Lytechinus pictus: one gene and its partners. Each later gene encodes a partner of the first gene's protein in a complex. Links are inferred from orthologs where the notes say so. Each region holds a gene or a part of one and is shown in the gene's direction. Other genes may lie near its edges.

Region 1 (10,912 bases):
CACTCAACCCAGGTGAGGTGAATACATGTAGGTACCCAGCAGGGTTAATTCTTCCAAAAGGGATGAGCGCTGGAAGACTGCTGTAGCTAAAGCTAGGGGTAATAATAATAATGCACATTGTAAAAGATTATTTTTTTAGATAGCGCAATATAAATGCCTATTATCATTGTTATTATCATTATTTTATTAACATTGTTCATTTCCAAGAACAGAAAAAAATGTACTTACAGAGAAGATCCAGATGGGGTGCTTGGAGGGACATCATCTCCCAGATAACAAGGCCATATGAGAACATGTCTGTCTTATGGGTGATTTCACCACCGATGTGAACTTCCATTGCATTCCAGGGCTGAGAGCCAATGTAGTCATCTGTAGGATTCTGTGAATGTCAAAGCATACCGAGGAAACCAAAAGTTGATTATCATGATTATCAACAATAGAAAAGCAGACCATGGCTTAAGTACTACAACAGCATTTCTATTACCTTGCTCAGTAATACAAGGGGGGCACATGGGGGCAAGAACTCTTCTATTATCATTTTTTTAGGGGTAGTGAAAAAAGGGTAGAAAGGGGGGGAAATGGGGAGAAAAGAGGAAGCAAAGGAAAAAGGAATTAGTTTTAATAAAAGAGGTCTTGAATGAGTTAATCTACATGTATACCCCTGTACTATTGGGGGCTGGCGGAAGGGGGATTCGGTTTAGGTTATCTTTACCATACCCCTCCTCCTTATTACCGAAATACCAGTGCCGCCCATGACTACTAATATTACTACTACTACTTCTAATACAACTACTACTACTACTACCTCTGGCCTATGTTTGGTGAATATTGTAGAAACTGCAGAAAACAACACATACAGCGGATACATACGACTGTATTGAATGCATACCTCCAGGCCGTTCAGGTCATCTCTGAGTTTGAGGGCTACTCCAAAATCACAGAGCTTGACAGTCTCAAAGTCGCCCTTGACGAGGACATTGCCGCTCTTCAGATCACCATGTAGGTACTTGAGGTCATTGTGAAGATAACTGAGGGCTGATGCTAGGGACAGGGCTACTTTGTAGATCTGAACAGCTGGGAATGGACCTGAAAGTGACATTGGCAAGGGCAATGAATGCATTACTGACGACTGCGCGAATCAGTGCTAGATACCTGACTAAAATCAAAGGTGTGGCTTTCTGGCATGAACCCCAGAAGAATATTCTGATCATTAATCCTCACATTTTAGAATAGATAAAACAATTAGGTACTACTACACAGAGTATTTTAATCATCACATTTTCAGCAACATTTTTATTTCAATGTCTAGGGGCACCCCCCCCCCCCCCATCAGAGTCATGTCTCTCTTGTTGTAGGAATTCCACAATTCTTCATGATGATTAATCCTCACATTTCATCATAGAGAATTCAATTAGAACAACACTGCATTTTGTCATTTTAAAAAATATCTTTCAATAATATCTAAGGGGCAACTGTCCACCATCCCATGCAGACCATGCCCCTGGTTCAGTAGCATTAATCCCAGATCTGAATTTTCACTTCCTTTAAAAAAAAAACTGCAAAAGGGATCAATTCTTTATTGGTTAAAGACTTTTACAAAGCCAGGCATGTTTTTAAGTATGATCATGCACAAAATCATGAAAATGACCATAAAAATAGTGATTTTATCAATGTTCAGCCCTTTCCCTCCGCTCCCATTTCTTTCAAATTTGTTGTGTAGTTGCTGCTTCGAGTTACCTTTCCCCATGTCGTTGCGTTTTTCAATCATATCCATCAATGACTGTTGGCCATTCTCCATTGACAGACACAGTGATCCATCCGCAGACTTGCTTAGAGCTCGGAATTCCACAATGCAAGGGTGGTCCATTTTCTGTAACAACATGATATCGCACAATAATAATAATAATGTGACTTATAAAGCGCCAAATCCACTCTGTAGAGTGCTCAAGGCACATAAAGAGCTAAGAGTTAAATAAAAAAGTTTTTAGAAGATTTTTGAAAGTTTCGACAGAGGTACATTTTTTTATGTCTTCACGAAGGCTATTCAACAAAGTGGGGCATGCAAAAGCAAATGATCTTTCCCCCCAGGTTTTTGAAACTTTTGGAATAACAAGGAAGCCAGAAGTGGATGAGCGCAAAGACCTGCTTGGTCTGTAGTAATTGATAAATGTAAATGAAAGCGATGAATGTTAGAAAGAATTTGAAACGTTACAACATCATACAAATTGTATGAACAACTTCAATAAACAAGCTTTTTTGATCATTTAATAATACCACAGTAATGCCAGACCAAGAAATAAGTATTTAATGAATCCACTATCCAGACTAGGCTCCAGGGATTGCAAACTCATATTAAAGAACAATTGGCACCACAGCACGTTATGGTTCTCACAAGACTATACGGTATACCACTAATCAAAGTTGAATTTGGTTCAATACAAGGCTTTCAAAAGAAAAGACAATTGTTGTAGATCAGATGCATGCAAACTTGCCTTGAGGTACCTTACCAAAAGTACAGGTTGGCAAGGATTGGAAATACCAGTAAATACTGCCTCAACATTTTTTTTAGTAGATTGGGAAATAATTGGAAATACAGGGAAATGCTAATTTTAAGCATAGCCTAGCATAGCCTAGCATTTCCCTGTACCTCCCTGTACTCCCCATTTTCTATTTTTTTAAATGTTTTCCAGTATATCCCACCTGGGTGGGAAATACCCAAATTTCTCAGGAAACTGCCAACCCTATGCAGGAACCTTGCAAGCATCTTTTCATGGCTAACAATTTTGTACATTGCTCTCATTTGTAATATACAAAACGATGGGAAAATGCAGAAAAGCTATCTGGGAGTCGCCTAGCACCTTAACAGGAGGATTCCTGCAAACCGATACAGATCTGACTTTTGCTAAAAGTAGGCCTACATTATGGGACAACTCAGTGCAATGCACTTCATGCTTTTCACAATTTGTTTATGAACAAAAGGTAGACAAGTGACATACTACCGTAGTAACTGCAGTCTGTCCATGTATCTACAGCCTACCTTTAGAATGACTGCCTCCTTTTTAAGCCTGCCTTCTACATCTACCAGTCCTCTATCTTTTTTATACTTGCTGCGTACTTTCTTCACTGCCCAGGGTGAACGTCCACTCCCATCAGGCTTTGGGCTCCTGAAACAGAAAGAAAAATTTTGGAAAAAAAACCTGAACTACTTTTAGCATTAGAATACTTGCACCATATGTTGTTAAATGTAAAGTACGGAAGTACAGTGAGTGATTATATTCTGAACTGCTTACTTTTTGGAAGTCTCCATAATTCCTTTTAATAGCAAAGGCAAAACCAGCATATCAGTTAATATCACTATGAACAATTTGCACCAGACAGGTTGGAAGCGATTATGTGGGAATTATAATGCATATTATTACTAGGCCTACACATAACACAGCAAATTCACCTGTTTGCTATCATTTTCTTAGTACTTAAAATTGAAAGTGCTACAGTTAGTAACTTAATCTCATTTTGTATGTTTTGAGACATACAGATCAATGTGAAATAGATCAAACTTTTTTTTTTGCCGAGGAGGAAAAAGCAACACCTTGTTTACATTTTAGATCTACCTCAAACTTATTGGGCAAATATTTTTAAACACGCTTTCATGGATTGAAAAACAGAGGAAGTTCCTGAGCTGATGTATCGTTGAAATTCAGGAAAAAAATGCCTACCGGTACATGTAGGTCGGACTCACGCCAACTTTGTTGTTTTTGAAAAATGTGAAATAGTCCCATAAGTGCTATGTCTGAGCCACGTCCTTGCTAAGTCCATGTTGCGTTGGTGGTGTTCCCACTCATTTACTGAATAATTGTACGCGCAGACGCAGTCCACTCCATGTGGCATCGAAACGTTTCCCCCTATGGCAAGATCTATAATGTCCTCGCAGATTGCAACATGGCATGCCATTGCCATGCCCATGTGCATCTAATACTAGGACCTAGACCTAGGTCGTTGCAGTGATAATGACACTGACAAAAATTCAAAATGACTGTAATTTATTATTTTAATTGAATGATTTGTTTGTTGTTAACTTAACTTAAGTTTAGTTTACTTTAATTTAGTTTAATTTAGTTTACTCAGACGATGTAGGACTCAGACTAAGCCTGTTCATCGATCAAAACAATAGTAGAATTTTTGGCAATATTGCTGCTCTGACGACTTCAGGCAAAATTAGATGCACTAGGCCTACTTGTGTTGGCAGGGACGTGGCAGTAAGTTAGGAGACAGGGGTATCGTAGACAGCAAAAAATTCCCTGAAAAACACACGGAAATAAAAAATCACTCAAATCATCATAGGCAATGTTCTCCCAATGCTTATCAAGCACTGAACAAGCAGAAACTAACGTTAGGTCATCTTCTGGGAAGTTTATCATGTTTCCCCTTGACAGCCGTCTGTTTTGAGGAGTTTTTCAACATTTATAATTTTTTTAAATATTTCTCCTAGTACACAGACGGCTCGCGATTGTGCAGCCGCCATTAGGGGGTTAACAATGCAAAATCCGCCCCCCCCTCCCCCCGATGGGGCTCATCGATTTTGTCTTTATTTCATAAAATATAAAAAAGAACTGAACCAAAATAAAGATTATTAGATCTATACTATTCCGTTTTGGCCTGAACAGGAAAACATAAACTTAAAAGGAAAAAAAAAACAGCGACTTACTTCGGCTGACGTGCAACTCCCACTTCCCTGGTTTTATATCCAAACTGAATACATAAACATATGGCCATTGAGTCCCTGTACAGATCGAGTTAGAACTTTGGTCTCTGTAATTGGTGAGTGGAGTGGAGCCAACGGAGTTCAGCGGAACAACCAATAATACATATTACAGAGACCACGACTGAAGCTTTTGGTCTAGTTTATCCTGGCCTAGACAGCTGGCAGCCGTCTGTTTCGAAGAGTTTTTTTAAACTTTTTTTTTTTCTCCTCGTACGCAATTGGTGGTGGGTGAAGCCAACGGAGATCAGCGAAACAACCAATTATCGAGACCGAAGCTTTTGGTCTAAGTTTATCCCTAACGTTAGATCTATCTACGGCAAGGCACAGGATAAAGCTTCAGTCTCTGTATTTTGGTTGTTCCGCTGAACTGCGTTGGCTCCACTTACCAATAACGGCAATAAGTACCGGGGGTATATCAAAATGTCAGAAATTGTTAAATAAATCCCCAGAAACGACGGTTATTCTGGCACAGGAAGATTAGATTCGCCTTAATCATTAGACTTGACCCTCCGCAGTTTTTTTCAATTAATCAAAAACCAAATAGACCAGTAGAGGCGCTGGTCAGAAAACTGGGATTGTCCCAGTTAACAGGGATTGTCCCAGTTAACAGGGACTATCTCATTCACCTGTCAAGTGCTGACAAATGTACTGTGCTAGAGCCTAGAGTAATGTAAACATACTAATTATCAGGTTTCATAACAAGATTATTGGAACTCGGAAGACTGTCTCCAGTAGAGGCGCACGGCCAATATGGGAGACTCTCTCCAATAGGGGAGACAATCTCCCACATTGGAGACTTGCTTTGCAAAAGGACAAAAGAAACAACACCAACAAAAGCATGATTTTTTCCACCCAAAATTTTGTCTCACTGAGGTCAGAAGCCCATTTGTTTTTTGTGTGATTGACAACAAAAATCCTTATCAAAACAAAAGTAGACCATGAATTTTTAAAGTAGATGGTGAAAAGGGGTAATTTTTCATGAGGAATCAGCTTATTACTTTTTTATTTGCCGCCAAGGTAATCTTTTTGCAGCAAATGTAAACAAAGGAAATTGGTCTCCAAAACTGGAGACTGTCTCTGAAATTGGATACCCAAATTCTTTACAAAAGTCTCTGATATTGGAGATAATCTCCCACATTGGAGACAGTCTCCAATATTGGCCGTGCGCCTCTACTGGTCTCTGTAAGTAACTTATGAGTTATGTAACTTGTAAGTCATGAAAATAGATGGTGAACTGGGGGGAATTGAGGTCACTGAATCTATTTTTAGCACTCTCAATTCCCGTAATTGATGTCTTTGTCCCGTAGGGGGAAGTGAAAAAAAAACGTCCCCATAAAGCCAGGCCATAAAAATTAAAATAAATTTAGGACAGTCTAAATTTATCAAGACATGACTCTTGGACTTGGTTTATGAGAATGTCCTTGTTTTCTGGGACAATCCCAATTTTTGGACCAGCGCCTCTACTTTAGACTAAGTTAGGCCTAAAAATAAACCAACCTTTCCAGCAAATAAACTGACACACCAGTCCCCCAGCCCAGCTTCTTCATAAACGGCGAGGCGGGGATCTGTATCGTGTTAGCGGGAGAGTTCCGGGCGGGAGTGGCCACAGAGAGTCGACTTCTCTTCGCTGGATGAACGGGGGTGAGAAAATCTGAGTTTCCTTTCTTCAGAGAATCGGTGGCGTTGCATGTTTGATCCTTTGTGGACGCCATTGTCCTTCCCTCTCAATTCTGCAGATAACCTTAATTACTTCTTTCAATTCAAATGTGTTTTGAATGAAGAAAAAGCTTTGCCAAAAAGAGAGTCCAACACTTTCAAAAAGGGTCTTTCAAAATTACCGCAAATTCAACTGCACTTGCGCGCGCGCTAGCGCTAGCGCCGTGAGCGACTGAGGGCGTTAATTCAATTTCAGAAAACTGAATGGACAGCAAAGTGAAAGGAGGTCCTTGAAAATATTGACTTTTCCTACATTTATGTGACTTTCTCACCACAGAATGGCAGCTCATCTGAAGAAACGTGCATATGAGGAGTTTAGCCAAATAATTCAGGTATGAAAATTTACCCGCCTTTATCTATAAATATCGAAAAAAGTTTGTGACAACATGGATCTGAATGAACTTGTTTTGTTCGGTCCCACATATTGAGATTATTGTGGGATCTAACTCGACTTGAATTGTATTGCATTGAACTGAATAACTTTATTGTCCATAAAGCCTTTTTAAAGGATTTTTCTCACCGGCTTACACACATGGAGATACAATGTACAAATGAAACTGAAATTGAAAATAATCTAAAGGGGAAGTTCATGTTGACACAATTTTACGTTAATAATAGAAAAATAATTAATAATAATATTCTGGGGAGGAAAATCGGCCTTGTCATGAAATTTGTCACCTCTCTTCTTGTGTGTGTGCGCTCGTTGTGTACATAGTCAATGGGAGTGGAAAGAAGAAGTCACCGCCGTTGACGAAATAAACGGTAGTGAATGGACTGGTGACATAAACCACGATAATCATGATAATGCTGGAAAATCCATCATTCATCAAACATGTCAAAAGATTATCATTAAAAGTAGACAAATTTAATTTTCTGATTTGTGTTGTGCATTGTGTTGTATGCGAGCAGCTTTCCACTAGCCCTTCTTGAATTGAAATTATCAATGAAACATAATTTTCTATTATTAAAGAAAATGATGGCTTTTAACTTAAATAATTAAGTTCAAGTATATCTATATCAACAGACAAATTAATTCACATCGCACCAGCCCCTAAGATAATTTTGAGTCATGAACCTCTACAATCTTGAAATATATGCATAAAAATTTGAAGGGGTCTACATGCATGATAGGGCAGCTGCCTAACCTTGAGGACTCTGTGATGATATTTTAAAATATTTTTACATAGTCATATATCTATATTTTACATTAGCCAGGAGTGAGGAGGCTCCTAGAGAGCACTCATTCAATGAACAAGGTTATGATATAACCTTGTTCTCAGTTATATCTCCATGTGTGGCAAAATAAGGGTGGCAATGTTTGGCTTATTTTCTCTAGTTTAAGGGACAAATGCTTGATTTTTTTACACCGACAGTTTCCATTACACCTATTCGTCATACAACTTGGCCCTTAAGTAAATTTGATTCTTTGAATTATTTTTTTCTTAATTAAAAATAGAGATAAAAAATGAAAATTTTCTTGCCATATTACTTTCCACCAATAGAGGGCGTACACAAAAATATGCCAAAAATTCACGTTTTTGAGCGCTCTAGTGAATACAAAAATTATTCCCAAGTTACTAATGAAAAATAAATTGCAACTGTATGAAAATTAGTAATTTTGGTCACAAAAGTGACATTTTAATGATTTTTGAAAGTGTGTGCTCTGTACAGCATTGGCATGCCATAGTCCTACCTGTAGATTCCCCACAGGCAGGGTGGTTGCAGTGAACAAGTGCTAGAGAGTACAAATAATTCACTAACATGTGCTTACTCTCCACAGAGCCAGGGATTGCGTCCCATTCATGTGCATGTAGTCGTGTACTGCAAAAAAACCTGAAATTTTCGCCCCCAAGATTTCTACTTTTCTTCTAAAAGATCTAGCCCTAAATCATGTAAAAAAAGGGATACATCTTCATTTCCGACATTGATATGACATTGATTTCATTTTTGATCTAGAATTCATTAAAAAAACAGAAAAAATATTATAAAAAGACGGGGAAAACATGCCGCGATGTTTATGTCATTATCTTGTTTCTTTTTGTTCTTTGCCAAGGTACGTGACGCATATCCTCCTGTCTTGGTCGGTTTGAATTCCTTTTTAGATTTGATAAGAACTTACATTTTTCTTCTCATTGTTAAACAGGATGAGCCGAAGGCACCTCCGATTAAGGTGAGACTTGTAGCCCGACCTCAGGTGACCCAGGTCACCCTTGATCTGAGGGCTGGTAATTCCAGAGAGGCCCTTACTCAGCTGCTTGATCTAGAGAACCAGCTACCAGTCGGTCAAGATGCGGCAGGTACGTTAGACGATGGGCGCTGGTGTTGGTGATTTTGAATTGATTTGAGTTGGTTTTTCTTTTCTAATTTGATGTTCATTTTATTTCAATTATTTTGTTTACAGCATTTGGATTTTTGTTTGATTCTGAGTTTGATTTGATTTGATGTAGACTTTCACTGACGGTGACTTTGACTTTGATTTCGATTATGATTTTCAAATTTGAATTTGAATTTGAAATTGAAATTGAACTTAGATTTGAATGTGACTTTGAAGTCAAATCTGAATTTGAATTTGGATTTGATATTGATATTAATTTTGATTTGATCTGATGTATTCAGTTTCCTACATGAATGAAAACATGTATAATTTACATTTTGCAAAGTGTAATAAAAAGAGATACATTCACATGTACATGTACCGGTATGCAGAATTGATAGGAGTAAGTGGAAGCATCTACTATCAAAGAGCTTAGCTTGTGTGATGGAGATAATGACAGTGATAATCACAGGTATAAATTCATAATGATACATGTGCAGAAGAATAAATCAACTTCTTTAAGCATTTTGATATGCCCATGTTCATGCAAGTGTGCTTTCAAATGTAAATTTAATAAAAGTTTTGAGGTATTTTGTGAAGGTATTGAGTATCTACTCGAGCCCGTTTCATAAAACTTGTTACAATAACAAATTTGCAATAACAGTTAAAAGCTAGCGAAATCCTTCCAGTTGATTGGTTGATGGTTAAATTTGTTATAGAAATGTTTGTATTTGTTATTATAACAAGTCTATTTGAAACGGAACCCAGGTCTGGCAAAGTCTGGTCCACAATTTTGGGCCAGCTTCCATAATGAGTGGTTGTATATGTGGTAATGGCAAGTGATGTTCATAGCGTTAATAATGATAATCATAAAAAAATGCATTTCAATAGCACATATTTCATGGCCATGTTCAAAAGTGATTTTTAAGATGAAAATGACAAAATTGTCAAATACCTCAATTTATTTCTTCCACCCAGAGAGTATTATCAACACTCTTTTTGAGCACTACAGCAAAGAGGAAGGAGCTCATGTAAGGTCAAAGGTCATTGAATTATTGGGTCGAATTGCCAGACTCCCGGGTGTGAACGCTGTGGGCATCGCCAATGACCTGATGACGCTCTTAGCCACTGAAGGTGAGATGAAAGCTTTGTTGAAGGAGGGGTATTTAAATTTCCTGGAAGGTCTGGGTCTTCAATCCCATTGCAGCATTTGCATCCTTTTGCATAATATTAGTCTAAATTTGCCACTCTCCACCCAGGTGTTGTAAATGGGTACCCTATTGGAATAATTTCCTTGGAATTCTCAAGTGCCTGATGAGAATACTGTAGCTATGCTTAATGCTAAGCTACTTTTATGGTATGCAGTGCTTAGAAAAATTTGGATTTAAAAAGTACCATGAATTTTGTGTGTTATGTAAAGTATCATCACATTTTAGTCTGACCAATGCTCATTGTGTTGTCAACCAACCATAAGATTTGGGCTGAAAGCCAAAGGTAATTGATTTTTCATGTTCCACATCTGATATTCAAGTGTACAGTACCGAGAATTCAATTTCTGTTTAAAAAAAAAAACGACAACTTGAAGAAAGAGTTTATGCACTCATATTGCATGGTCAGCAAATGTGTGCATGGATGATGAATTTTACAAGTGCTTATTTCAGACTAGACAAGGCCCAAGGATATGGTATTTGATTGTTGTTTCAAGAATTACATGTCCATGTCGATTCCATCCTTGGTTTTGTCATACAGGTTCTCACAAGGTCAAAGGTCAAATATTTACCACACTCACTGTGATTGGACGGAGCCTTCCTCTGACCTCCGATCTCCATCGTCAGCTTCTGCAACTTGCTCAAAAAGTAAGTACATGTACATTGTATACCAACTGCAAAACATGTTATGCTCCTATGTGGTGCTGTAGGAGTTCAGTTGAAAATGATAACAAGATTTCCATCTTATCTGGCAACTTGCCAGGTAAGGAAAATAGGATAAGATGAAGAGGACAAGAACCCACTTGTCGAAACTTCGAGTTTGGGTTGTCCTTTTCATCAGGACCAACACTTGCCCAAGAAAGGTGCATGGTGTACCATGAAACCTACTACACTGTTCTTCTTCGCCATGGA
Region 2 (10,649 bases), on another chromosome or scaffold:
GATCTTTGGATTTGGAGCTTTGAAAATAAAACATAATGATGTAGCCTTGGGGAATTTTTTTTTTAAAGAAATACTCATAATTGATAAATTCTAATTCAAAAGATAAAGATTCTCCAAATCTCAAAATCTGTAACAGGTAAAGAATATTGAATATGTTTATATAACTGATTCTTAATTCTGCTTGAAAATGGAGGCCTCAGTATCTTAATCATTTTAAAAATATATACCGGTATATACATACTTAAATTGAAATGAACAAATTTGAAACTATATATTTCCTTAATAGTACAACCATATTACTAAGCATTTGACATACAAGCAATGTTGTTGCAATCTGTCAAACATATCAAATGCAGTTCATTGGTATACTGAAATGATATGTTTAAGAATATATTCCTTATCTATGCATTCATGTTATTTATTGTAAAAGTGAAACAAATGACTTAGATTCAAATTACGTAATGTTTCCCACCCATCATTATGTTGCCTCTATGAATCTTCTAAGAAACTTACCATTAGGATTCTGTCCCTTGTAAAATTCTTGAAGAAGTTGAACAGCAGTATCAGCATACAGCCCAGGTTTACACTGCAGAAGAATGGGTCGAGAAATCACTTTGTGATTTACTTGTAAGAGTTAAAACTGGTGGTGGTGAAATTTTGTGAAGACAAATTTATCTTTCTTTATTGGTAAGTAGCGACAAAATAGCATAACTTAAAAAAAAACATACAAGAAAGGAAGAAAAAAAAAAATAAATTATTTGGCAAATCAATTAACTAATGTTTATAGATATTAGTCTCATAAAAATAATGGGTTTTGATGAAACAAGTTCCTCTTGTTTTCTTAACTTTTTTTTGTTTTTTTACTTTTCAATACTCTCATCCTGTATACACCTTTCCCTTCAGTCAATCAACAAACCCTGAAGATCAATTTAAGTAACTCCTAAAAACATTACCTTTTTTTATTTCCATGAACATGTATTTGTATTTTATTAGGTACTTGCATTCTTATAGCTTTGAAAAGCTGTGAGAGTGAACTACGTAGAGTGTACTGAATACTAGTTGTAATAAATATAATTTGTAACACAGTAAGCATTCCTGTCCTCTACAGAGATATGAATGATATGTACACATAACTCCAGTAGAACAACCATATCTCAGACATTTTTAAATGTAAATTCTAGCTTGACAATGATCTAAAAATGAGTATGAACAGAATCCAATAAAATGACCATGAAAGTGTTTGCATGTACAATAATAAATATGAGGTGCCAAATAATTATGAAAATGCATAAATGCTGAGAAAATGATAAAATAAGCACAGCATACCTGCTAGGTGACAGATTTTTTTTTACCAAACAATATGTTAGAACATGTGCTTTTAATATATATCCATCTTAATGATTTTCATTTTCACCAAAATTTATTTAAGACCCATCTAGTTATGGAATATGTATGCTTTTAAATGAGCTTTACTTACCTCAAAAGTTTCTCCTGTAGATGGTAGCTGATCTGAATGTACAGAGAAGATGGAACCACAACCGCCAAACCTTTCATTAGCACAACCATACACAACCTTTCTAATACCTGTATAAAAGATTAAAAACAAATTTTTTTTCTATCAAGTGACTGCTGTATTATTCTATTCAAATACAATGTAAGACAATAAGTAATAATGAAAGAGCCTTGAGCGTAAAGATATAGTTTAATACTCTGGCATACCTGCCAATATTTAGAATGTTGATCTTATTGAATGAGGGAAATTATCATAAACAAGCAGTGTTGTGGGTCTCGAGGCCGGAAAATCGTTTTTGTGGGTGTGTGTCTATGGACTGTATGAGTGTACTGTATATGTATATGCAATGTATAGGCTACCGGTATATATATGAGTATCAATGTATGTTTTTTATGGAGGTGTGGAAATCACAATACATAACCAAAGTAAAAAGCATCACTGGGCTAAGAAATGACAGGTATTTAGGGTCCCTATGAAATCTGTGGCCGTTGCCACAAAATAATATAACAATATTTGGCCATGGCTGGCCTTTTCCTGGCTCTCCGGCCTTGGCCTGCCTTGTATGGGAATATTCGGCCTTGACCCTTCTGGCCTTGGCCTTGTCCTCAGGTGGGTCAGCCTTAGCCTTGTCCTCGGGCAATCTGGCCTTGGCCTCGGACAAGCCGGCCTCGTACTCTAGCAAGTTAATGTAAAGTGAGTGTTAATTGTTGAATGTGTGTGCTTGTGGGTGTTTAGGATTTCACAGACAATAGGCATGCTCTAAGAAATTGGAGGATCTTGGGTTCAAATCCCTGCCATAGCGTTAATTTCCTTAGCAAAAAAGTCATCTACATCATGCTGCTTTCATGCTAGGTGAAGTAAATGTGTAGCCGCAGGAAAGAATTCCTCAGAAAAAGCTGTGAAGACCAAAATCAGTAGCCTAGAATAGCAGGGTTAACAGTGCTTTAAGCATGTGCACAATATAAATACCCTAAATTTAAAAAATGAAAAACACCTTGGCAGAACAAGCTTCACATTCTGATGGCAAATGCAGAAAGTGGCAAGATCCAAGAGTACAACTACCATATCAATGTCTACTACCGAATCCCCATTATTAGACAACAGTTTCATACAAAAGGCTAGCTGATCAAATTCAACAACGAGATTATAAGAACAAATACTGCAGTCAAGATTTGTCAACCCAACCCAAGAGTATGAAGCCTTTTCTATGAGAATGAAACTCACCCATGATACGCAGAGCCCCAGCACACATGATACAGGGTTCTACTGTCACAAATAGTTTGGTATGTGAGAAGACCTCTTCTCTCTTCATCTGTTTGTCTTCACACCATCTCATTGCTTCTTCTAAAGCTAAGATTTCGGCATGTCTTGTGGCCTACAGTGCAGTAGAATGAACGTTATTGAAATGAGAGGTGTAAGTAACATACAATCTACAAAAGCAAAAATTTAACTAAAATGACCATTAAGACAGATTTACTTGTTCTGTTTTTCAAAAATTCTGCAATAACTTGAAAATTCATAATCAATACGCCTGTATACAGAGCATTTTTTCAAATTTGGGGGAAACCCTGTAAAGCTGTTGTACTTTCTTTTTCAAAACATGGATAAACTGACCTATGATAAGTATTTTCCTTTTTCAATACAAAGTTATAATCTACAAGAGCAATTCAATCCAAAATTCATTGATTATCGGTATATGAATCAATATTAAAGCAATCTAATATTACATGTATGTTGAGTAAAATGAATTGAATAAAGATGTACAGAAAGGTTTGATACAAATCTCAATAAAGTACAAGGCATTGATTTTATTTTATCTTTTTAAATTGCTCAAAATTAGACACATCTTGTTCCACAGTAGAGTATTTGAAAGGTTTGTGAATCTCATGATCTTGGTTTGTAAGTGCTGCATACTATTACCCCGGCTTTAGCATGGCTACCCTGCGGATCGGACGCTCAAGCATTCACAGAATTCCTTCCTGCTGGGTACCTATTTACTACTCCTGGGTGGAGATTGGCAAATGTAGATAAATGCCTTGCCAAAGGACGCGAGTGCTGCGGTGGGATTCGAACCCCAGACTTTGTGGTTCAAAGTCGGGAGACTTATCCAAACTGAGTCACATTATCTCTGAGACCTGATATGAGACCTGGAGTGTATCAATCATGGGAATTCTTATCTGAGTTTCAGCAGGGACGCCCTGGTTTCAGCTACAATGATGGACTTTTCATGTCAATATATGGATAGGATGTGGTAGTACTGCTTACTAATAAATTAAGATTCAAACTTTGCACCCTGAGGTGCAGACTGCAAGAGGTGCAAAATGACATCAATAATATAGTGCTCTGATCCCTTAGTACAAAGTTTTATCTTTTCTGCAGCTTCAAAGTGTGTAATAAGCAGTATAACTTACATTTTTGGTTTGGTTGACAGCATTTCCTCCTGTCCCTATGATCTGATCATTATACACAAGGAGACAACCTACTGGGACCTCTCCTCTACTTAGGGCCTGCTTACCCTGCACAAAAGAAAACATATCTTAATTTCTCATAGGGAACTGACCATTGTTCACTACAAAACATTTTGCTACATCTATTACAAGCAATCTAAAGAGTAGACATGGTAGTTAGGGTTTCTGAGTGTTATTAACATCACTAACAGAACTTTTTAAAAATATGTAACCATTCATTTTCAGTCCCATAGTAATTGGATACAAACCATGCACACTGCTTGCTTCATCCATTTTTCATCATAAGCTTCGTCATACAGTTCCATGGTCTGTAATAAAAAAAGATGATAATTTAAATTGTTTCTTTTCATCTACAAGTTAAATATCAATATTATTTTACTAATATTATTGAACTTTGAAGCTCAGTAGAGGCATACGGCCAATGTTGGAGACTCTCTCCCATTCTGGAGATTATATCCTGTACATCAGTATTCAATTTAAAGGGATGGTCCGGGCTGAAAATATTTATATATCTAAATAAAAAGAGTAAAATTCACAGAGCAAAATGCTGAAAATAAGATTAAAATTGGAAAACAAATAATGAAGTTATTGAATTTTAAAGTTTATCCATATTTTGTGAAAACAGTTATACGCACATCGTCATGAATATTCATTTGGTGGGCTGATTATGTCACATCCCCACTTTCCTTTTTCTTATGTTATTACATGAAATCATAAATGTTTCATTTTTTCATACATGTGTAAATGATATTTCTGCATTATGAAATAAGTTGCGGCAATAAATAACTAATGCACTTAATCAGTTGTCAATTCAATTGTTTTAGTTTTTGGTAGAAAAAATTTGAATAAACCAAATTTCATATATAATAAAATACAAACGAACAAGTGGGGATATGACATCATCAGCCCACCTAATGAATATTCATAAAGACATGCCTATAACTGTTTCACCGGAATAATGCAAATCTTTAAAATTCAATAGTTTTGTTATTTGTTATCCGATTTTGATAAAATTGTCAGCATTTTGCTCTGTGAATATTACTCTACTTTATCGAGATATATTTCCAGCCAGGACCATCCCTTTAAGAGCCAGTCTCCACTATGCAAGATTTTTTCTGTTTAACATTTGCGTCAGAGGGATTACCATGGTGGCAAAATTACTCCTCTTAACCATATATGCTCAAGAATTCTCCATCTACTTTTGTTTTCATTTATATTTTGTTATCATGTGGTTTTGACCTAGCTGCAAATTTTGGAGGGGAATTAACTTTCTAGTTCAGTGTTGTTGCCTATCTCTTTTGCAAAGCATGTCTCCAATATCAGAGATTGTCTCCAAAATTGGAGAAAGACTCAAATATCAGCCATGCGCCTCTACTGCTCATATTTCTTCAAAAGGTTAACCAGACACAGTTCGAATCATTTGCAAGAGGAAATCTTAAAATAAATGTTAAGGACTTTGAGTTTGATGTCTCTTTCTGTATCCAGTGTAGATCTAGGCCTAATGTTAGACATGCTAGATGCCTGGCTAGTGTCTAGACTTAGACCAAAAGCTTCGGTCTCTGTTAATGTTATGTTGGTTGTTCCGCTGAACTCGTTGGCTCCACTCACCAAATACAGAGACCGAAGTTCTAGCTCAATCTGTACAGGGACTCGATGGCCATATGTTTATGTATTAAGTTCGGATAAAACTGGGAAATGAAGTTGCGCGACAGCCAAAGTAAGTCACTGTGTTTCCCCCTTTGAAGTTTTTTCCCCATTTTGGTGCATTTCAGGCCAAAACAGAATAATATAATAATCTTTATTTTGGTACAGTTCTTTTTATATATTTTTATGAAATAAAGACAAAAATCGATGAGCCCCGTCGGGGGGATTTTGCATTGTTAACCCCTAGGGCCTATGCGTGGCTGCACGATAGCGAGCCTAGCCTGGACTCTGGTCCTGGAGGCTAGTTTTCTGGGGAGTAAAAGTCATCTACTATACGGAAGTCGTAGGCTTACTCCAGCCTACGTATAGTAGATGACTTTTACTCCCCAGAAGCCTCCACTCCAGTCCAGGCTAAGCGAGCCGTCTGTGTACGAGGAGACATTAAAAAAAAAATGTTAAAAAACTCCTCGAAACAGATGCCTGCCAGCTCAGCAGCTGTCTAGTCTAGACTATACTAGACACTAGTGGCAAGGCATGGATGCTGATCGAGAGATTGAGCTGAGCCTGACTGAGATTTCACAATTAGTGAAACCTCGGCTCAATCTCTCGATCATCCTTGCCTTGCCACTTACCTTAATCCAAAATTAAAAGTTTACCCTCCTCGCACCTATCAAGTATCATGCCTATCTGTCACTCTTGAGTCTTGGCGTCTTGCTGCTGACGTAACGACCCACTGCCTCAGATCAGGCTCAGATACCGGTAAATCTGATTAAAAATACTCGTTAAGAGAATCTCCAACTGGTACATGTAATGTACCGTAGTCAATAACCAACCCGCGGACAACCGCTGATAAGTACATGACATGAGGTGCATATGGCGTCTGGTTGACCGGCCGCGGCAACAGTACCTGGTACAGGCGCAGGCGCGGTTTAAGTACGGTACCGGTACCTGTACCTAGCGTTACCCGGGCCGGGGGCGCGGGCGAGGGATCCCCCGCAACCACACTCGTCTCGCGATCGATCGCGCCCGTCCTTAATTTCTTCCGTATTTTATTATCGCGAGGATACCGTACCATACCATCTGAACGGTATACCCATCTGAACTGAGCTGAGGCGAGCAAAAGAAAACACTGCAAGAATATCCTGCATTTTATATAAGAAGCCGGAATAGCCAGAATGAAATTGGTAAGAAAACCTATCCGACCTCCTGCCGTTATGTTATTGTTGAAGTGTGTGTTTGTGTGTCTATTAGTTACAGCCAATTAATGATCAGTCAGCTATCAATCATTCACACAAACAACAACATGAATGCTAGCATGTGGGGCTATGTTAATCCAGCAGATTCAAAGGTTCAGTGGATGATCCTGATAATTCATCATCATCATCATCATGTTACGAGGTGAGGTAATCCTGTTGACCTCGATCTCTTCATCTGAAAATTGCAGTCCATCTCCATACGATGTGTTATTACGTCATAAGTCATAAGAACAAAAACTTGCACACGTGTAGGGTAGAGACGGTTTTGATCATTTGGACTTGGAGATTGAAACGCTCAGACCACCAAAACTTATCGAGTCTTAATTTGAATACATCGATGGAGCCTGAGTCAAATAACTTCTTGGGGGAGGCTATTCCAGTCATTCACTACCCGGTTACTAGTAAAAACGCATTTGCGTATGTCGAGTCTTGATCGTTCTTTAAATATCTTTAACGTATGACCTCGAAGATGTGAATTATAGGGACAGTGATTTTCCGTTTCAAAAAATTGCCTTTTCCGTTTCAGAAAATCTCAAATTCCGTTTCAGCATGTCAGAAAACGTAAATTCTGTTTCCCCATAGACTTTGTACACACGGAAAAGTGACAATTCCGTTTACACATTGAATAGCAAAATCACAACACGTACACTCGCACTGGTCAAAATTTGTATCTGCTACTAGCCTGTACCAACAACACAATAGAATCTGTTCTAATCGGATCTATGCGGGTGCATAAAATATTTTTACAAACCCATTTAGCATGCATACATCCTCACCTTTCACATCATTAGCATTATTTCACGATGAAATGATATTTCATCGATAATTTTGGGGTTTTTTGGACATCGTTATCATCAGTAAACGGCTTTTGCCAATCCGCCATCTTGGATTTTAAGACCACGATATCGTGCTGTTACATCTTCTAAGGTAGAGGGCAGCAACACACAACCGTGTAGTTGAACGATATGTGTGCATGTGAAGCCCAACCCGGCCGGCCGGGCGCCGGGTACGGCTACGGTGCGGGGTACAATCGAGTGTGGTGATGTCGAGTGCAGTCACGACGTGTGAATTGTCATGATAGTAGCGAAGTGAGATCGTGTTTTCTGGGGTTTTGTGGCCATTTAATATTCTCATTTTGTTGTGATTTCGGAGTAATTTCTGTTGCTATTCTGTGTATTTTTAGGGAAAATACGTTTTCCGTGATTTTCCGTTTGAAATGCCACTTTCCGTTTCAAAAGGCCCTTTCCGTGAATTCCGTCCGTTTTCCGCGATCGCGGAAAATCACTGTCCCTAGAATTAGTTGATGGCAAGAAAAAGTGACTTGAGTCCATCTTGACCATTCCTTTCAGTATTTTAAATACCATAATGGCATCGCCTCTCCTTCTTCTATAATACAGGGAGTGTAAGTCCAATACTTTTAATCTATCTGAGTAGGGGAGTTCTTTTATCTCCTGCACCATCTTAGTTGCTCTTCTCTGGACTTTCTCAATTTTATCCGCATCTTCTTTCCATTGAGTGTTCCACAAGATGTTGCCATACTCTAGGTGTGGTCTTACCAATGTCTTAAACAAAATTGGTAGGGTCCTTGTGTCCAGTTGAGTGAAAGTCCGTCTGATGATACCAAGGAGCTGATAGGCTTTGCTTACTTCCATTGATATATGCTCATGAAATTTGAGTTCCGAGTCAATCAATACTCCCAGGTCCTTTTCTCTGGTAGATGAGGCAACTTCATCTCCATTCATGTGATATTTATCTTTCTTGTTATTTCTCCCAAAGTGAAGAACTGTACACTTATTCTGGTTGAAAGGAAGTTGCCATTTTTCAGCCCACATGGTAAGTTTGGACAGGTCTGCCTGTAAGGCCTTGGATTCTTCATCATTCCCTACTGCTCTGTACATCTTAGTATCATCCGCAAAGAGTAAGATCCTGGAGTTTATGTCACTAGGCAAATCATTAATAAAAATGACAAATAGGATTGGCCCGAGGATACTCCCTTGCGGTATACCACTCTTAACATCTGTCCAAGATGATGTCACTCCATTTATAGCCACTCTTTGCTTTCTGCCTTTCAGGAAGGCACTAATCCAGGCAAGAAGAGGGTTCTCAATTCCATAAGCTTTCAGCTTCAATAAAAGTCTTTCATGAGGTACTGCATCAAAAGCCTTCTTAAAGTCTAGATATAAAACATCAATAGGTTGGCTATCGTCTAATATCCTAGTCCATTCTTCAATGACTTTGTTGAGTTGTGTAGGTAAATTGTTCACTGCTTGTATTAACTCTAGGCTTTCCAATTATTTGGAATGTGCAGGAATTTTAGGCAATGAGCAGGCAGGGTTTAGAGAAAGTCATAGTACCCTTGATCACATATTTACATTACATGGTTTGATCGATTTGTATCTACACGATGCGAAGAGAATTTACTGTGCCTTTATTGACTACAGAAAAGCCTTTGACCTTGTTGACAGATCTAGTCTCTGGTCGAAGTTGATTTCATGTGGTATCAATGGGAAGATTATTAGTGTTGTTTATAATATGTATGAAAATGCTAAATCATGCATAAAGTATGGATATAACATTTCTGATTTCTTTACCTGTAATATCGGAGTGCGTCAGGGTGAAAATTTATCTCCTTTGCTCTTTGCAGTTTTTCTTAATGATTTTGAATATTTTGTTAGTCGGTATTATAAAGGCTTAAATATGTGCTCTTCTCTAATAAGGGACTACCTGAGCAATGATGATGTGGAAGTTTTCTTACGACTATATGTTTTATTATATGCTGACGATACAATAATATTGGCTGAGTCGGCTCAAGAACTTCAGTCTGCTCTGTCGGCTGTTCATCAATATTGTGAGCAGTGGAAACTTTCTGTTAATACAAGCAAGACTAAAGTTGTGATTTTCTCACGTGGAAAGGTTCGTAAATATCCAGAGTTTTTGTTTGGGGATACTGCTCTTGACGTCGTAGAGGATTATATTTATTTAGGTACCACTTTTAATTACAATGGCTCCTTCAAGAAAGCTATGAAAAAGCAAGTTAATCAGGCTAGGAGAGCAATGTTTAATCTTAAAAGTAAGGCCAATGTGTTGAGTTTGCCTTTGGACATTCAATGTGAATTGTTTGATCAGCTGGTGGTACCAATTTTGTTATATGGTAGTGAAATTTGGGGGTTTGGTGATGTAGATTGTATTGAAATGTTTCATAAGAAGTTTATAAAAAGCCTCCTTGGACTTAGTCGAGGGTCTGCGAATTGTATGGCATATGGCGAATTGGGAAGAGTCAGTCTGCTTTATATTATTGAAAAGCGTATGATAAATTTTTGGGCAAGGATTCGTCAAAGTGTAAATGGAAAATCTAAATTGTCAAGTATGATTTATAGGCTTTTGCGTCAACTTCATGATAGGGACCTTTATAAGTCACCATGGATAGTAAAAGTGAAAAACATTTTGGATAGATGTGGGATGTCTAACCTGTGGAGTGTTGAGAATATAGTCTTGGACGTTAAGTGGGTTAAGTCAACTGTGAGTCTCAGATTGGATGATATTGCTAAACAGGAATTGAATACTGAAATTAATAGAAACCGTTTGTGCATGAATTATAGGATATTCAAACAAGATTTTGGGTTTGAGAACTATTTAGTGAAATTAGATTTTGCAGATAGGATTGAACTCTGTAAATATCGTTGTGGAAATCATAGATTGCCAATTGCTAATGGTCGTTACCTGCCTAATCAAGGTTTGCAAACTTGTACTCTATGTGACTCGCATGAG
Region 3 (11,061 bases), on another chromosome or scaffold:
ATTAATTAAATTAAAATAAATTAAAATAAAATAAATTAAAATTGAAATTAAATAAAATAAATTGAAATGAAATGAAATAAATTGAAATGAAATAAATTAAAATGAAATAAATTGAAATGAAATGAAATAAATTGGAATGAAATAAATTGAAACGAAATAAAATAAAAATTAAATAAAAAACTCACCCAAAAGCCCCTCTGCTGATTGGTTTAATGATGGAGAACTCATCAATGGTTGGAGCCTGATGCATCTGAAACAATTAAAAAAAAAAAAAAAAAAAAGAACTCTTATACATAAGATTTGAATTATACATTAGCTCAAAATATCGGTAAATTAAAAGGAATTCTTATAGAAAATGTTTGAATCATATACTAGACCTAATGCCAGGGGCCCTGTTTCTCAAAACCAACAAGTTAGTTTAATATACACCAACCAATGAGTTAGCTCTAATCTTACTGAACCTTTTTTAGAAAGGCTTTCTAGCTCGACACCCCTAAATTTTGACACCAGATAGAGTAGACATGGAATAAAGTTAAAATAAAGTAAACTATCACCTAATTTTTAAAGAGTCCGACCATAACTGTAATTATTTTGATTAACTTTTAAATACACCTAGCAGAGTCTAGCCAGATACAATAGATACATGTACATCATGCTCATTAAAACCATGAAGGCGAGAGCTCAGCCTAGACCTAACATTATGCCTTAGGAGCTAGTAGAACCATTGGATGGGGCCTGTTGCAATACAGTAAAAACATATTTAAAGCACATTCAAATTCATGTTGAGTAACCTGCACAATATTCGAAATGTTAAGCTTTTCTGCAATATTTTTTTTCTAAAATGTGTTTTCACAAAAGAAATTCACATCAATGTTTGTAGAATATATTTCAAGTGTATTTTTAATTGCAATGTTTATTTTCAACTTACATGTATATCTCAATATTTTATAAAATATTGAAATGTATCGCCATGTAATGCAGCGATCATTCGCTCCTGCATTAAGGTCCGACCCCATGTCAAATGAACGCATGCCGTCGACTTGATTTCTGTGCAAATTCAATGCAGTAGAGTTTTTCGTTTTTTTTTTCTATTTAGATTTGTCGTTTTGAAGATCTCTACGATCCTAAATTTGCAAGAAAGTTCACGAAATTTGCACAAAAACAGTTTTCTTTATTTTCTACATGTAGCATATCTTTGGGTGACCCCACTTCTTAAATCTGAGGTACGCCACTGCGTGCGCTGGAAATACGGCATATATTCTGCATTTTTAAGGGCAAAATTTGACTTTTTAAAGGGAATTACTTCATGTGGTGAGTGATAATGGCTGGGTATACAAGTTACAACAATGAATTAGGTGCGTGTATATGCTGGCTTGTGAAATAACTTTACCACATGTGTCAAATGGCACAACATGTCGAATTCCGGGCGTGTTACTATAGATCTAGATCTATAATAGGCACTTCAGGTGAAAATCAGGAAAGGCTGTTCCAGCATTTCTTATATGCTCACAATGAGGCTCAATATCTACGATTCACAAAACTGTTTGAATATTCAAATTCCGATATCTAGAAGTAGAGTTATTGTCATCTTTGTGATACAAAAACAAGGCTTTTTGTGGACAAAAGACGATTGCAAAATCTTATTATTCTCTATGTTTTGGGCATGGCACACTTATAATACATACGGTAGCTTATGGGGAATTGTACAAGCTTTTTATTTAAGGACGTTCCACAGTTATATTTGTGCGCATTATGATCTGCGCATAGTTTACACTCTGCGCGCTGACGTCACAATGGATGAACAGGTATTAATTAGCTGCGGGTATGAGCTGATTTTTCTCATCTTCTGCACTTTAACTGCAGATCCGATGCGTTATTTCATTAAGCTAAAAAATTGAATTATTCCATGGACCATTCAAAAAAAAAATCTCTACAATTTCAAAATACTTTACTCTGCAGTGCTGCCAAGAATCACGAATATTAGCCCGAGTTTGAATAAATGGTAGAGTGGTTTTGATTTTTTCTTCACATAGATACTAAGCATTCAGCCCATTTTTGGTGTTTTAAAAAGCACATTTGCTCTAATAAAAATGCTGATAGTTTAAAAACAAGCACATGAACCCCTATTTTTTAATGTTTGTACCTCTTAGGTATACCATCCTCTACAACTCTGCAAATTTTGGTGAAAATGGATTTTGAATAAAGTGCAGCATTTATTGTACATTTGTAATTTGTTACTGAAATTTTACATTTTTCAGATTGGGATTTTGTTATCTTTCACGCCATTTTTAAGAACTGACAGTGCTGTTAAACTTAAAATTGCAAACAAATAGCACTATTAATAGATTTTCCATTCTAACGATACAATTATTAACTCTCTTGCGAAATTTGATGACTTTTTCATGTATTTTGAATGAGTAATGGAGGTTTAAACTCATTGTAGTAATCTTGGGCGGTCTAAAAATGCCAAATTCTTTTGAATGCGCAATTCTTAAGAACATCAATTTGGGTGAACTTTGAAGCTCTATAGCAAAAAATCAAGCACATGGACCTATGTTAATTTTTGCATATTTCGAATATTAAGGTTCTAAAGTATCTATGTGCAAAGTTTGGTGAAAATGACATGGATTTCACTTTAACTGTGGAACGTCCTTAAATCTTTAAGTACTCAGATTGATTTGGCATATAATTGACATATGATTTCTTTGGTTCAAGGGCAACTACCCCTGAACAATTACCCCCCCCCCCCCCCCCGTCCTCTCTTAATACTTATTTTGCACAAATTCTACAAAATTATTTTCAAAATAACAATTTAAATTTCATAATTAACAGAGCTCAAATTGTAATTAAAAAAACTATACAACGGCTGAAACATACTGTGTCTGAATACCGAGACTAATCTCGAGCCCATCGCAGCGGGGATGGCATCACTCACAGCTGTTCGTATACGCTCAAAACAACCCTTCTCGATCAGCGAGTCAGATTCACAAACGCCTAACAACACTCAAAATTGAAGTTCATTTCCGCTGGCTCTTTACGAACCAAATTCAATTCAACTTTCACAAAATGTTCTCAAATATTCAATTTCATTAACTTAGGGCCTACCGAGTTTCAATAAGATCCGATGATTACGGGGTGATTTCAACTTCAAGCAAAGAAAAATTTATACCTTAATATTAGGTCCTTCCATCCCATTATGGTAAGTGAAACTCAGTGTTGTTTATTATCGATATTTGCCAAAGGTGTACAAAGCAACCACGGGAATTTTTGACCAATCAAAATCAGCAGAGTAAACAGTAGAGGCGCACGGCCAATATTTGAGACTGTCTCCAATGTGGGAGATTATCTCCAATATCAGAGACTTTTGTAAAGAATTTGGGTATCCAATTTCAGAGACAGTCTCCAGTTTTGGAGTCCAATTTCCTTTGTTTACATTTGCTGCAAAAGGATTAACTTGGCGGCAAATAAAAATGTGATAAGCAGATTCCTCATGAAAAATTACCCCTTTTCACCGTCTACTTTAAAAATTCACCGTCTACTTTTGTTTTGATAAGGATTTTTGTTGTCAATCACACACAAAACAAATGGGCTTCTGACCTCAGCGAGACAAAATTTTGGGTGGAAAAAATCATGCTTTTGTTGGTGTTGTTTCTTTTGTCCTTTTGCAAAGCAAGTCTCCAATGTGGGAGATTGTCTCCCCTATTGGAGAGAGTCTCCCATATTGGCCGTGCGCCTCTACTGGTAAAGGAAGAAACTGACTGTTTTATTGAGCAATTCCAAATGCAACTCCAGCACTCAGCCGAAGTGCCGAGCGGAGCGAACCGTGTGTGTTAGTCATGTGCTCCCCATTCACTGCAATGCGAAAATGTACGTTCAGCGCTCTGTCCGCACGATCGCTCGCATTTGAAGTTTTAGTGACTTTTAGTTTTACGACTGTCTTCGAATTATTATTTTTTTTGCGTTCTTTGACTTGGAGTCGGACTCGGAAACTGTTACCAAACGTGATTTAAGATCATTAACAAATTTGTCTTGAGACTTGAGTCTGAGCATTATCTGATTATAGAACTGTTAATGATATTTTTAAAAATAGGAATAAAATAGGTCTTGCAGGTAATTTCATTAAAAAAAAAAAACTGGCCACCCAGCCAGCCACACGTTTCACAACGCATGGGACCGAACTTGTTTCTCATGCATCCATACATAATTATAAACAACCTTTTAAAAGCATTTCATAGCATGAAAGTGGCATACATACCTGGGAATCTGTCTTGGTCAACTCAGAATTTATATTTGACGATGATGGTGACAACATATTGGTCATTTTTCTCTCTATTGTTGCGGGTTTTCAAGTTTACCGCTGCTTTAGTGGCCGTGTTTTTTTTTATTTGTTCTGTCTTCCTCGATCGAGAGAGGGCGTGTACCAAGGCCCTATAGGGCCGGCCTTGTAATCAACGAAGTATTGTATTTCTGTGATTCTATAAATCCCTATCTCAGAAAATAAAAAAATTGTATGATGTGCATACTGTACAACATGTACAGGCACGGATCCGGGGGGGGGGGGGCTGAAGGCACACGAGCCCCCCCCCCCCGTAGGATTTGAAAAAGAGAGAGGCAAATTGACCTTACATATCCAAAACCTTTTCTTTTTTTTTTTCTTTTTTTTTGCTTGTTAGTTATACTTGGGCGGACGAATAATATTGACCTTAAATTTAGGGGACAACATTTTTTATTAGGTATTTTGCTTGTCAAATTTTCAACGGGTAAAATATGGCACCCCTTTTTGAAAAAATCCTGGACCCTGTAGCACACCAAAAATTTCAACTCTGGATCCGCATCTAGTGTACCTGTAAAATGAGACAATATTTTTGCTTTCTTCAATAATATAATCAATACATTTTGGATTTTGTACCATTGTTTAAAAAAAAGAGAAGTCGCTTTGTCGTATTTCATGTATTATTTAGCCTATTTCATTCCGTGGAACTTGCCCTTGATGCCTACTTTTCATTTCTTTCTTTATTACCTTTCTCAATCTTTATTTACCTTTCCATAGGCTAAACTTAGTTGCACTGAGATTGGGGAGCCATAAAAATATATGAAGATATTTTTTGTATTTACTTGTTGGATTTTTCTGAACGAAAATACCCCCTTTTGGAAAAAATTGATCCGTTCCTGCCTCTTTTTCCCCAATTATAACAAATAGCTAGACTCGACGCTGGGTCAGATCTTTTTTTTGGGGGGGACAGGTTTTTATTGAGAAAAAAATATAGGATAGCCCAGCATTTCAGTACCAGACGATTATGGTTATCCCTCAAACTATTGTGATTAATCATAGATTTTAGTTCCGTGAATGATATGACGGGGGGGGGGGGTTACCTTGTTATAGCTATTTGTCGATCTTCCTTTGTTATTTTTATTATCAATTTTGTATTGTTATATCGATACACCTATTTGACAAGCGGCGTGCCAATTAATTTCATAATGAAACATTGTTAAAAAAAATCATTATTTTTAGGACGTCGGATTAACACTATTTTTTTAAAGGTATTATTATCTGAATAATTGCACCGCCGCTGAAATGTTTTGATTCCTTGATTTTTCAATCTTTTCTTAACAATAACAACAATAATAGCGGTATATTATTTACCCAGGGTAGCCACTTCAGTTCCGAAAACTGGGCCCAGCGGGCCCTGCTATTATTACCCCGGCTTTAGCTGAGCTGTCTATATAGCGCTCAAGCATTCAAGGAATTAGTCCTGCCGGGTATACCCATTCACCTCACCTGGGTCGAGTGCAGCATTCTTTAAAAACACAAAAGGCAAACTTGAGGATGGAGGAATGGATGACCGGATGAGGAGTGACAGCACTTTCCACCAAATGCTGTCCCCTTTCGACCCTTTTAGAGCGTGTTGCTCCCTCACCCTTTCATACGGTGATGGGCAATAATTTCTATCTCGCCGATAAAGCCTATATATATAGCACAAATGGGAAAATTTAAAAGGTGACAAAAATATTTAAGGCCTATGAGACGAGCATTGAGGCCAATTAGAGCATCCGAGATCATAGCCTAATTGGTGGCCTTATTATGGATTAATCTAAGCACTGCTTAAACATTGCCATAAGGGATATCGAATGCTGATTCAGGTAGGCCTATTATTAGTGAGGTAGGCCTATACGATTGACACATTTTAGAAATGTAAAAATTAATTAAGATTAAGATTAATCTTGAAGTAAATTACCCCCCCCCCCCAAAAAAAAAAAAAAAAAAAAAATTGGGAAAATCTGATAACAGGCGATATATACTTCAGGAAACGCTAATGAGCTTTTTTAATCATCAGATTTTTAAAGGGAAAGCGGTTTGAGAATAGCGGCTAAGTTTGAACTTTTTTTGGGGGGGAGGGGCCTGGCCCTTGGAAGCGGGGGTGCCCGGGGGGGGGGGGGGGTGACTAAAATGGTGTGCCGAAGCAGCTATCAGCCATTCCCCTGGAAATCAGATTGGTGTACTAAAATGTAGAAACTTGACCCCCCCCCCAAAAAAAAAAACCACACATTTTGATCTTAGAGTGATAATCTTTATTTTTGCTTGTCATTTTTCCCCCGTAAAAAACCGTTCCCTAACATGAGGAGGGGTGCATGGAGGGGGGGGGGGTAGGCCGGGTTGTTAGGCCCAGACCTTTTTTATTTCTCTATTCGATTACGAGTAGTGCATAATAAAGCAGAGTCTGAAGTAGTGAGACTAGATTTACAATGTACTGTTGTTGCCTCTTTTTATAGAGAAAGAGAGTTTTGGAGAAGAAGGGAGTGCATAATTATGAGACTCGATCAGACATGAAATCGTATTTGATTCGAGTCTGTTCAAGCAGCTCGTAGACGTAGACTACGCACTGATCATTGGCATGAACTAGTTGAACTGATGAAGCGCTAACTTTATTTTCGAAGGATTTAGACTACCCATTTCTCCACGGATTGATGCTATTTTCACCTCAAGATGACAGATATAAGGATAGTTCCCTTAGGTTTGTATATTATGAGCCTATGTGTTTATATTTGATTGATAGTAATGTTTTTTACCGTGTTACTTTGCCGATTATTTCGTTGACAGTCCCATGTATTGTCATCCATGTTTGTTATAAATTATAATAGATCAACATTGTCATTCACAATGACAGACTGCACGCGTGTATGAGCTGAGCTTGACAAGTTGATCATACGACACTGTCAATGATTTGCAGGATTTTAGTGATTCTTTGGTGGTGGTAGCTACTAATGAATCAGCGTCACTAATGCCATTAATTATTTAGTTTTTTCGCAATTTGATAAATGAATTCAATTAGGAATAGGAATTTATACTTATAGGATATTTTTTTCTACTGTTCTATTAGTATAGTTCTCTCAGGCCCCTCAATGGCCTCAAGGCTTCAAGCCAAGGCAGGCCAGGCATCTTTTTTCAGGGAATTATTTTTGCAAATTTGTTTTATCAGCATTGTTTTTTTTTTTTTTTTTTAGGGGGGGAATTTGGTTATAAACTAATCTTAAAGTGACAATTAAAACTGACGATCCTCTGTGCAAATCTGCTTAAAAGATGGAACAAATTACAAATACAATCCAAAAAGTGTTCCGTTGATTGAGGCCAAGTCAATCTTGACGTTCATATGCCATATTAATCAATATAATGATTGTGGGCATTAACGGAAAGACAAGGCAAGGCGGCCAGCTCAATGTCATTTAAGCTTTCCAAGTCAAGTCTGCTGGAGCTGTTCCCACTTGCAATCTTGTCCAGGGGCCTGTAACACAAAGCTTAGCCTTAGCTGTATTAGCAATGGTCGTAGAACATTTTTAACAATTGATTGCATTGACTACAATGGCCAGTCAGTCGTAAAAATCAAGCGTATGATTGATCACTGACTTTTGTGTGACGGGACCCAGATGATGTTTTGTGTTGCTATAAAAATCATTTAAACAATAAGATATGGAAGCAAGACTCCAAAGAGTTTAGAATATATCCTTTTAACATGTTGACTACAAATACATGATTCCCAGTTTGAGTTGGCAATGCTAGTAGAATAAGTGATTGTATGATTTGACATTCATTTTGAAAGGGGCTGGTCAGGATGTTGGACGGAGCTGTATTCTTCTGACGATAGGAAGTAAGAATATCATGCTGGATTGTGGGATGCATATGGGCTTCAACGATGAAGTGAGTATACCTCCTTTCCCCATCCTCCTCTTTTTCTTCTTCTTCCTCTTCTTCCTCTTCCCTCCTCCCTCTCCCTCCTCTTCTTCCACCTCTTTTTATCAGTCATGTCATTCCTTCTCCTGTTTTCCTGTATCTTTTCTTATTTGTCCTCATTTTCTTTTCTTGTTCTCGTGTTGGCTTCTTTCCTTGATTTTGATATTTCCATTTCTGTTATTCTTTTATATTTGTTCTTATTACTCCACATGGGTATGTTTGATTATAAAAAAGGGACTTTTTGGTCATTGTTGTCTTTTAGTATAAATTTCCACTTTCCCTCTTTCTCTCTTGAAAAAAAAAATTCTTAACCATCTTTTTCCTTCTTGTTCTTCCTCCTCTTCAAAACATTTCCATTTTCATATATTTCCGCATATTCTTTCCAAACTTACTCTGTTGTAAATCTCAATACTCTGTTCTTCTGATGACCTGCCACAATATCTAATTTTGAATGTGTGTTTTTACCCTTTTTTTCCCAACAGAGAAGATTTCCAGACTTCTCCTACATCAACAAAAATGGTGGATTGACAGACCATCTTGATGCAGTTATCATTAGGTATTTGAATAGTTCTTGGAATATTTCAAATGATCTTTTTTGGTTTATTCAATTATTAGTTGATTTATTAATTTATTTGTTTTATTTCTGCATACCTGTTTATTTGTTTCTCATGAGTAACATATTTAAGTGTTTATTCACTTCTCTAAGGATTAGTACATGTTTTGGGGGAGTGTATCTAAGAACTAGACAGCATGGGCAAAAATGGGTGGCCACTTTAATTATTACACTGTCGCATGGAAGCGTTGTGGTGTGACCTTTCTGACTCTCACCTTGTAATCATTGTCATGTGTTCGAATCCCACCATGGCCTAATGTCCTTTGGCAAGATGTTAATTCAGACTTTCCCACACTCCACCCAGGTTTATGTGAAAGCCTATGCAATATGCCTTGCAGTTGAGTCTTGGAACTCTTGTCTTGTTGGAATGCTCTCAGGGAGTTGAAAAGTGCTTACCGGTACATTGTTTGCAGGCATGCCAGGGTCCGATGACCACGTTGAAAATAATTCCAATGTAAAGTGCTTAGAAACGCAAAGTTTTATGCACTATATAAACGTGAAGTTGGTTCAGTTGGTAATGTCGAACCAAAGGTCGTGGTGGATTCAAGTCTACCCTGTGCGGATGACTGCGTTGTGTGTAAACATCGCTCCCCTGTTCCATAGATGCAGGCTATGTTACAGTGGAAAACACTCCATCCCTCGGATAGCATGTTAAATGGAGGCCCCGTGTAAAGGAGAGTCGCCACTTTTGCACGTTAAGACCCCACTGCACGTTTTGTATAGAGTAAGGGGAAACCTGTAGTGGTCCACCTGCACTCCCCCCAACCAGTTATATCGAGAGGAGAGACCTGCGGGTCACTTTGATTCAGTTTGCTTTTCACCTCCCGGGCACAAGAGATGCCAAACAAATACAAGCAGCCATGCATATATCTCTTAGTATCACATTTCTTCATAATAAATATTGTTCTCCAAATAAATTGCTTTTCATGTTTTTTCCATCCCCAGCCATTTTCATCTTGATCACTGCGGAGCCCTCCCTCACATGTCTGAGATTGTCGGCTACGATGGACCCATATACATGACACAGCCCACCAAGGCTATCTGCCCCATACTCCTCGTAAGTGTGCATGCCTATTGCGGCAATGCATTATTCATTACACTTTTCAATCTTCAAATTGGCAATATTTATGTTAAGTGTTATTTTTTCTTCCATTCATTTTTATTCAAATGCAATATTTTTTGTATTAGAATAAAAAAAAAAGAGTAAAGTTTGATTAAAAATGTCTCAAGGAGTTACACATTTTCAAATTTGCAACAGAAAAACAAATTTTACAAAGCATTGAATCTAAGAAAATGGGGTAATAATATCCAAGTCCTTAGGAAGCGCATAGAGACATTATTCATAATGTGATATGCGCTATACAAGAACTGTATATTATGATACAATAATAAAGGGCACAGTAATTATAGACTCTTGAAAACACATTTTTTTAATCTTGCATGATGATGTTGTTGACAGAATGTTATATCAAAGATAAATGCCAGTTCTGGTAATGATTTCAAAATGAGTACGTACAGAATCCAATAAAATGAGCACCCAAGTGTCTGTTTGGATAAATTGTAAGCTATGAACCAAAGGACACTGGAAGAAACTGTGTCATTGCTGAGAAATAAGCAAAATAAGCATGGGGTACGCGCAAACTGTCAAGTATTTTTTCCAAGCAATAATAATACACTGTCCCACATGGCTTTATCTGTGTTGGTTATTTACTGTGTGATCTTTTTTCAGCCTAGATTTTATGATTTCTCAAAGTTTCATTAGTGTAACTGTACCAGATCAAGATCCACAATAGTTACAATTATTCTTGGTTTTACAAATTTTCTCATGATGTCAGCATTTACAGCGACTACTTGCATTTATATTTTAACCTAAAGGCAGTCAGTACCTGTGTGTCGATATGTCATGTTTTAACTTTTAAAATTTTATTTATTCTTTTAAATAGGAGGACTACAGGAAGATAATCGTAGAGAAAAAAGGAGAAACCAATTTCTTCACATAAAGGCAGTCAGTACCTGTGTGTCGATATGTCATGTTTTAACTTTTAAAATTTTATTTATTCTTTTAAATAGGAGGACTACAGGAAGATAACTGTTGAGAAAAAAGGAGAAACCAATTTCTTCACCTCACAAGTAAGTATAAAGTTGCCATAAAAATGCCTGCTCAATTTATAAATCAAAATATTCCACCAGTATTTCCTTCTAACACAGATACTACTTGACC

What was found.
Region 2: the proteins of integrator complex subunit 4-like (region 1) and integrator complex subunit 9-like are in contact, whole or in part, in a cryo-EM structure (PDB 7SN8), measured with the Drosophila melanogaster proteins. The link is inferred for Lytechinus pictus from reciprocal best matches to the Drosophila melanogaster genes IntS4 and IntS9. Residues at the interface, in NP_572488.1 of Drosophila melanogaster: Arg105, Leu108, Val112, Thr115, Asp116, Asp147, Thr148, Ser149, Lys153, Glu156, Gln193, Met196, Arg200, His231, Lys234, Gln264, Asp265, Ser266, Arg269, Tyr302; in NP_648838.3 of Drosophila melanogaster: Arg2, Arg23, Met88, Lys90, Met91, Asp93, Glu96, Asp98, Arg173, Lys176, Asp203, Leu205, Gly206, Gly500, Glu501, Ile502, Arg504, Val544, Lys545, Asp546.
Region 3: the proteins of integrator complex subunit 4-like (region 1) and integrator complex subunit 11-like are in contact, whole or in part, in a cryo-EM structure (PDB 7SN8), measured with the Drosophila melanogaster proteins. The link is inferred for Lytechinus pictus from reciprocal best matches to the Drosophila melanogaster genes IntS4 and IntS11. Residues at the interface, in NP_572488.1 of Drosophila melanogaster: Arg226, Ser227, Gly228, Gln233, Lys256, Phe259, Tyr260, Asp262, Ser263, Gln264, Lys299, Asp300, Asp301, Cys349, Leu351, Lys380, Lys381, Ile437, Glu441, Glu443, Phe444, Leu445, Glu446, Arg448, Asp471, Phe472, Asp475, Asn478, Glu480, Ile481; in NP_651721.1 of Drosophila melanogaster: Thr182, Pro183, Arg185, Gly188, Ala189, Trp191, Ile192, Asp193, Lys194, Arg196, Ile210, Arg211, Asp212, Ser213, Lys214, Arg215, Arg258, Asn287, Gln288, Lys289, Lys292, Thr293, Met299, Gln400, Asn404, Asn469, Ala470, Pro472, Pro473, Pro475.

What each region holds. Positions count from the first base shown.
Region 1 is NC_087260.1:14,205,286-14,216,197, reverse strand, and holds the start of integrator complex subunit 4-like, read left to right. Parts: upstream 1-6,642; 5' UTR 6,643-6,756; coding exon 6,757-6,810; intron 6,811-8,621; coding exon 8,622-8,775; intron 8,776-9,770; coding exon 9,771-9,926; intron 9,927-10,541; coding exon 10,542-10,648; intron 10,649-10,912. UniProt on the Drosophila melanogaster protein: Component of the integrator complex, a multiprotein complex that terminates RNA polymerase II (Pol II) transcription in the promoter-proximal region of genes.
Region 2 is NC_087245.1:1,538,838-1,549,486, forward strand, and holds the start of integrator complex subunit 9-like, read left to right. Parts: upstream 1-6,320; 5' UTR 6,321-6,800; coding exon 6,801-6,809; intron 6,810-10,649. Other genes in the region: tRNA-specific adenosine deaminase 2-like, read right to left, coding at 1-17, 514-586, 1,478-1,584, 2,738-2,888, 3,925-4,029, 4,230-4,286. UniProt on the Drosophila melanogaster protein: Component of the integrator complex, a multiprotein complex that terminates RNA polymerase II (Pol II) transcription in the promoter-proximal region of genes.
Region 3 is NC_087250.1:18,422,004-18,433,064, forward strand, and holds the start of integrator complex subunit 11-like, read left to right. Parts: upstream 1-6,865; 5' UTR 6,866-6,985; coding exon 6,986-7,013; intron 7,014-8,096; coding exon 8,097-8,194; intron 8,195-8,709; coding exon 8,710-8,783; intron 8,784-9,785; coding exon 9,786-9,897; intron 9,898-10,910; coding exon 10,911-10,970; intron 10,971-11,061. Other genes in the region: serine/threonine-protein kinase greatwall-like, read right to left, coding at 186-250, 4,256-4,321. UniProt on the Drosophila melanogaster protein: RNA endonuclease component of the integrator complex, a multiprotein complex that terminates RNA polymerase II (Pol II) transcription in the promoter-proximal region of genes.